Xenopus tropicalis: one gene and its partner. The protein of the gene in region 2 purifies or fractionates together with the protein of the main gene of each other region. This does not show direct contact. Links are inferred from orthologs where the notes say so. Each region holds a gene or a part of one and is shown on either strand. Other genes may lie near its edges. The genes, in order: apba2 and clstn1.

What was found.
Region 1: the proteins of clstn1 (region 2) and apba2 purify together in Homo sapiens (affinity purification with western blotting; 3 studies listed by BioGRID and IntAct, with this or other methods). This does not show direct contact. The link is inferred for Xenopus tropicalis from reciprocal best matches to the Homo sapiens genes CLSTN1 and APBA2.

The regions. Positions count from the first base shown.
Region 1 is NC_030679.2:97,171,268-97,175,099, reverse strand, and holds part of apba2 (amyloid-beta A4 precursor protein-binding family A member 2), read right to left. Parts: intron 720-3,832; 5' UTR 682-719; coding exon 1-681. UniProt on the Homo sapiens protein: Putative function in synaptic vesicle exocytosis by binding to STXBP1, an essential component of the synaptic vesicle exocytotic machinery. May modulate processing of the amyloid-beta precursor protein (APP) and hence formation of APP-beta.
Region 2 is NC_030683.2:55,939,040-55,942,871, reverse strand, and holds part of clstn1 (calsyntenin-1), read right to left. Parts: intron 2,459-3,832; coding exon 2,210-2,458; intron 487-2,209; coding exon 368-486; intron 1-367. UniProt on the Homo sapiens protein: Postsynaptic adhesion molecule that binds to presynaptic neurexins to mediate both excitatory and inhibitory synapse formation.

The DNA of each region.
Region 1 (3,832 bases), on a different chromosome or scaffold from region 2:
AATCTGATCAATGTCCTCCTCTGGTTCTTCTGTATTTCCATCACCTTTCCTTATAGGAAATGGAGATGGAGGAAGTGAGTTTCCATTGGCCTCTGGGGAGTAGTAGTCCGGGTATCCCTCCTCATTTTCACTAAAATGGGCTTCCTCAACTTGGTTATGTTCCTCTAAAGAGCTATCCTGCCCTAATGTAATCATCTGATTTTCTTCCTCTGTGTCTCTATCAATACAATGCTGTTGTTGTGTCTTGGATTCTGTCCATTCATCTTCTACTGCTTCTACACATTCATCAGTTTCTATATGGTGTTCTTCATGGTGAATATACTCCTCTCCATTGCAGTCCATGCCTTCAAGATAACTGTCATCTTCAGGACAATAACGTATATAATAGGTGATTCCTTCCTCTTCATCAGGAAGTCCTTCATCATATTCTTCATCAGAGGTATTATTCACATAATCAGAACTAGAGTCCCCATCACCACTGTTGTCATTGCAGTCATGGTCTTCTTGGGTGTTTGACATGTGTCTGCTCTTTGAAATCCGTGAGTTAAAGTCTGGTACTATAACTTCTTCATAAACAGATTCTTCACTTCCAGGGTCCATGGCATGAGGAGAAGGAGGACAAGACCTCGGTCTCTGATCCATTATGCTGGCCGTTGTGCTCTGACATTTACGATTTGCCATATTCAGCAACTTACATGACCATCATTTCTTGACAAATACTATAGAAAAATAAAAGAATGAAGTTAGCTATAATTCGAAAGTTATACTTTAATGCATAATAAAAATATTTTGTAATTTGTAAGGATTAGTCTAGCATAATGTAATATTTTTTTTACAATATCAGGTAATATGTATGCCAAGTTATATATAAACTAAATACTAAGGTTAGTAAGTACGCAAACCTGTTGACTCATTGATAATGCAACTGTAATGCATCTAGCAGCAAGCACCAGCAACTGAAAATTTTATTAGAGATTCAAATAATCTGAAAACTATTTAAAAAGTAGTATATTATATTAGTAATCTCAGTAAAACAATTATTGTTCATATAGAAAGCTAAGTTAACAGGGCTATAATAATAAATAATGGATATACCAGAAAACAGACTTTCACCATTAAAAAAATAGTGGCATCTAGAAGTGGTGCACAATCTTGTTTCTTTGTACCCTGACTTTATAGGCCTTAGCTATACTGTATAACAAAATATATAAATAATTACAAAGAGTGCATAGATAGGTATCCAGTTTTTATAAGCTGGACTGTATAGATCAATACAGTTATGTTAAAGGAAAAAGAAAGGTAAATACTAAGTAAGCTTTATCAGAAAGGTCTATGTAAATACAGCACTCACAGAAATGCTGCACTGACTTCTCTGAAAAAAGATTAGTTGTGTCTGTTTACCTCTGCCAGAGACACGCAGCTTTCTGCTCTCTCCTCTCTGCTGCTCCCCCCTCCCCTCAAGAATGCTAAGAACTCACTCCCCCCCTTAGGAATGTGGATCTGAGCCAATCAGCAGGAAGCTGACTCATAGTCTTACTAACTGAGCATGTTCAGTTTGGTCTCGGTGTCTTTGCAGGAGTGAGGCATTATGGGAACTTTGTTTACACAGCTCAGTGTTTTTTCTTCCTGTTTGGCTTCAGCTCTTCTGAACAGGTGAAATATGGGGAGACTTAAGGGCACTATTGAGACAACTGAAGGTATGCCTGCAGTTTGAGATTAACTCTTTACTAGCCTTTCCTTATCCTTTAATGATATCTAAAAGATGATTTCACTGCATGAACACTGCACTGCATGAACACAATGTAATGTGTCTGTATAATATTTTCACGCCTCACAATTGTAAAAAAAAAGTAAAAACATGTCTATTTCCACACCAGCAAAGATAGCCTCTGCAGATTTTAAGAATGGTGCAATGGTGATATATATTGATAATGATTTTGCAACATATAACATGTTTATTGATGGAATGTTTTTATTTTATTGTTTCTCTAGAGCAGAGTTAGGAAAAAATTGTATCTTTATTAAAACCAACAGATTTTCACCAGATTCCAAAATACAACTGTTTAACCCTGGTAACTAGGCTGTTACACCTTGGTACCACAGGGCAGGCTCAGGGTAGGACTGGGGGGTGAAGGGCCCCGCTCCGGTCTGGGCCGCCGGGGCCCACCGGGATTTTTCCCAGTGTCCCGGCGGCCCAGTCCGACCCTGGGCAGCAGGGGCGCTTCTGCCATTAGGCGAGTTGAGAAACTCGCCTCAGGCGGCAGAAGCGCCCCAGTTACCAGGGGCGGCAAAAAGGCGCTCCTGGTAACTTTAAGAGCCGAATTTCCGGTTCTTAAAGTTACCAGGAGCGCCTTTTTAAACCGGAAATTCGGCTCTTCTAGTGCAGAGAGCGCAATTGCGCTCTCTGCACTAGCGATCTCACTGCCCCCGGACCCGCTCCTGCGCTCAGAAGGTAAGCGCTGGGGAGCGGCATCCAGGAGCGGCATCCAGGAGCCGCCTCAGGCGGCGATATGTCCAGAATCGCCCCTGCTGGGCAGGCTTGCCCAACTGTAAACACATCACTCCAGTCCCTTCAAGGGCTGTTATAAATCATCCTCCAAGCATAAGATGTAATAACATCAGAAAGGTTCATAAGCTTTATGCCTAACAAAAAAAGGAGGTGGAAAGCGAGTTAACACCAGATTGATAAATAATGTTGTAACTGTCATAACTAGTGAGACGTCACATTAAATACATGTCGATCTATATTTTGTGATCTATGAAATTCCAAAATATAGCAATGTTAGCTATAGTGTCTAATTCACGCAACACACAGTTTCCTTTTTTTGACTGACACTTTTTCTCTGTAATAAAAAAAAAAAAAAAGAGTGCTTTGTAATAAATAGGTAAGCTAGTATACATCAAATTCTTATTGCAAAACTACTGCATTGAGGTACCTAATCTTCATATCGGTATATTTATATTAATTATTGCTATGTTTAACCCGTCTATTTGTACAATTTGAATACAGCTATGGGATCTGTTATCTAGAAAGCTTCAAATTACGGGAAATTCTTCTTCCATAGACTTCATTGTAATCAAATAATTAAAAAATTTTTAAATTATTACCCTTTTCTTTGTAATGCTAAAACAGTATTTGGTAATTCATCCTAACTAATATATCATTACTCTTTATTGGAGGCAAAATAATTAATGTTAAATGACTTAATATCCCCCTATGTGTGTCTGTAATTTACCCCCCCCCATTTAGATTATAAGCCCTACAGGCATCAACCCCCATTCTCTTGTTTCTTGGGGGTGATTTATCAACGGTCGATTTCAATTTTTTTTCTCGATTTGAGTTTCTGAAATTCGAGTTATAGTTCAAAATCTCGAATGTTTGGTGCAAAAAACCTGAAAACTCAAATTTAAAAATTAGCTATGTAAAAGCTTGCAAGTGTCTATAGAAGTCAATGAGAGTTGTCAGGATAAAGTCAAGCCATATTCTCAAACTCAAATTTTTTACATTTTTGAGTTTTTAGAGCTTGTAAACTCGAAAAATTCGAAAGATATTCAAGTTTTTCATTCCAACAAGTTTTCCTTATTAATAAATAAGCGACCATTCAATATGCAAGTTTATTTGATTTAGAAAAACAAACTCGAAAATTGATAACTAAGCCCATTAGCTCTGGAGAATCTTTAATGTATCTGTACTTTGTATTTATTTGTATTTATTATCATACTTGTATGTGTTTATCTATTATTGTAATGACTTGTTTGTTCCATTAATATATTGCTCTGCTGTACAGTGATGCATATATAAGCACTATATAAATACAAATACAGTACATAC
Region 2 (3,832 bases):
TGCAAAATATCTGAGGATATTTCCAAATGGAGTGCTGTAGTTACTTTTGGACCTCTTCACAGGGGCAAGCTCAGAAGTATATACGGTCCAATGGGGTTCCTATCTGACCAATTTTATTATTTTTAAACCTCAACAAATGCTGCAAAGTGAGTGTGGGAGCCTTTTCCATCAAAAAGGAGTTATACAAGGTATTGCACTTGGGAGATGGCAATAAGTACCCGATGTAAAAATGAGTTTCAGCAGGTTTAGGTGCAACAGGCTTTTTAAAAATGATACATTGACCAGTAAATTATAATCTACTTTAAAAGTTTATTTATTTTGAAGTAAAACTTTTTTTTCCTAATAAGAAATAATGCAGCCATCTCACCTGGTTAAGTTTCCAATTGAATTCTGCAGGTTTATAGATCTCCTCTGAAGCCACCTGGTGAAGGAGAAAACCTAGCTTGCAGTTGTGTATGTAGAGAAAATAGTGATGCTGACTTATTTCTATTGAAAAGAAGAAGAGAATAAAATAACAAAACATTTTTAAAATATAACCTAATAAAATAGGGTCACGTCACCTAAATAATAACAAAGCATCAGTACATATGTTTTTGGTATGCAAATCTACTCCAAAGAATAATTTGGAACACTGTTAACTACAAATTCCCAAACACTGATGCCAAGTGCACACGTGCATAGGATCTATTCAGGCCCAGATTGGCAATCTGTGGATTCTGGCAAATGCCAGAGAGGCTGCTATAAAACGCCATAGACATTCACTATTTTTTGGCCTGGTAGGGGCTGTTTGGGCCTCTCGGTACTTGGAATGCTAGGGTCCAATTTGAATCCCAATCCAGTCCTGGATCTATTATCTGGAAAGGTTTGGGTGCTAGAATACTCTGGATAAGGTTTTTTTTTCACAATTTAGGTCATACCATAAATCTACAAAAGAGTATTTAAAAATTATATTATTCAAAATTTGCCACCAATTTGGATTTATGCTAGCTTAGTTACAATCGAGTACAAAGTACTAGATTGAACCAAGAATAATTAAGAGGAAACGAAAAAGAAAGTGGTGGGAAACACCACCAAACCTTGGTAGTAATAACAATACTTTAGGGCTAGAGGTATCAGTAAAATACAGTTAATGTATCGAAAAATACCGCCAAGGATTAGTTAAAAAAATATTTTAAGATTAACTAAACCAAACTGAGTTGTTTTGCCACCAATATGGATTTAGGCAGCTTAGTGTGGACAAGATACTGTTTTCCTTTTTTAAAACAAAAGAAAATCATTATTAAAGATTAGAACTATTTGCTTAAAATGGACTTGGGAGATGGCCTTCTTGTAATATTAAGCTGTGTGGATAATGGGTTTCCTGATAAGGGATCCCATAACCTATACTTTTGCTTGGGTACCCCTTATGGAAACACTACCATTTTAAGCCCTAATGTCTGTGTTTTACTTTAGCTTTTATATGCTAAAACAAAGAGCACATTTATATATTAGGTTACATCAGGCATTGAATGGACAGAGCTATTATTTACTCGTCCCCTTCATTCTACAACAGAACCTGCATTTTCTCCATGTCCAGTGTCCAAGAAGACCAAGAACACCACAAAACAGTGGCTTAATGTATAATATCATGGGCAGCATGGTAGCTCAGGGTAAAGTACTTCTGCTTTACTACACAGGTGTTATGAGATTTATTCTGGGTTATTAGTTACTTTGCATGTAAACCTGTATGTTCAACATCCATTGATTTACAGTACCTTGCAGAATTATAACAACAACAATAATGTTAATACTTTGGTTTCCTCCACTCAAAACACATACTGGCAGGTTAATTTGCTCCTCATAAAATTGCCCATTGTGTGAATGTAATAGGACCTTAGGCTGTAAGCTCCACTGGGTCAGGTACTGATGTGAATAATGTAGAATATCTGTAAATCTCTGTGTAAATGTGTCAGGACTATATAAATACCAGGAAATCAATATATAAGAAATCTGTTGGTTAAATTTGTGTTCAGAACATATTAGTTTTCCTCTATGTATAAACATTAAGCTTGCTTGAGGTAAGTTTCTAGAGGCCAAAAACAGAATGAACTGCTTTTTTATAGTTGTTTAAAAAAATGTTAAAAGAACTCAAGTATAAATGCAAATGTAGAGAAGAAATATGATTTTTTTTCCCCCACCAATGATGCATCTACTGTATAACCCAAAATACCTGTTTTGCCAGAAAAGCACAACACTGATTCCTTCTCTTTGCCACCAGTTCCATGTCGCATCCAAACAGAAATCACAAAGGGCTCATCAAAGTTCAAAGTCACAAATTCATCTGGAATCTTTACTGCCTGAGTGCCATTGAATTCAAATACCTGGTCACTCTCATGACCATTATCCGTGGGAAGCCCTAAGGTCCAGTTTGTGGTCATGCTGGGAGATGGAAGCAGTTCTACTACATCAGAGGAAGACCCTGCAAGCAAAATTAGAATATGCAAAAAACAAATTACTTTTCAAATGTAATATTTCCCTCTTACCAGTTATGTGCCAGTTGCACATAACATGCCTGTCTACCTTACTATGCTTTCCCAATGTGACAATCTCTTGCCCTCTTATGCCTGTGCCAAGCACTCCTCTCACTCCCCCATCCTCACATGGCAACTATCCCTTTTATTTTCCCGAGTCACTACCCCGCCCCCCCCCCTTGATTCATCCGCCCCCCCCCACGCCATGTCTTACAATAAACAGCAACTTGTTTTATGTAATGCTGTATGATTGTGCTCTGTACAGCATATACATTTTTAAAGACATTTATAACAAACACCCCGTGCTAATTATTTTATTAGGGTGGTAGGAATGGACCAATAATAGTATGTGCAAATGTTTTTTGTACAATCTCCCTTATATTCAATTGTGAGGGTTTATTAAAGAAAGTTTGGGAATGGACCAATATTAACATGTGCAAATGTTCTTTACAGTCTCCCATATATTCAACAGTAAACGTGGCCCATATACGGTACAATCCGCTGGTTTGGCAAGGTCCCCAAAAGGCCAGATCTTTTCCCGATCTTCTCCCAATATGCCCACCTAAGGTGGGGGATATTGGAATAATTTGATAATTTGACCCTGGGGCCAAACTATCTAATAACTGTGGGTATATAAGCTGTCGGACAGAGGACCGCATCAATAAGCCAATGTGGTTCCAGATCTCGCGGGAAATTCAAACCTGCCTGATTGAGATCTGCCCGATTTTGTGCCAGATATCAGTCGGGTAGGCCGGGGGGGTGGGTGCCCATACAGGAGCACATAAGCTGCCAAATCGGTCTGAAGGACCCGAATCAGCAGCTGAAATCAGCCCATGTATTGCCACCTTTAGAGTTTGTCCTCAGGTGTTGTCCCTGAGGTTGTGCTGAATATCTGCTGAGACATAGCAGATGTTTACTATTAAGTACCTTTATATAAGGATCTTTGCATTTAGCAAACAAATATTATTTTCTTTAAATCGGGCTAAAAGCAGCGTGAGCTAAAAGCTTTGAATATTAAGATTTTTCTTCCCTATACAATAAGTCTTCTGTGTATGTTTTTTTACACATATCTTCCATGCCACTACAAACCTATAGGTAGTTTTTGCCCTGCCCACACAAGGAGGTAGGGTCAGTATTTTTGTCCTTCTGGAAAGGGTGGAAGGATGTCTGTTGTCACATTTTTGTTTAATACATCATTATAGAAAGAAAGCCCAATTTGGCTCCTTGTGAATTTTACCTCTGTACAGAGGAATAATTCCCAGGTAATGGAGAAGAAACTGACTGAAGCCCCATAATGTACAATATGTGTTTGGATACATAAT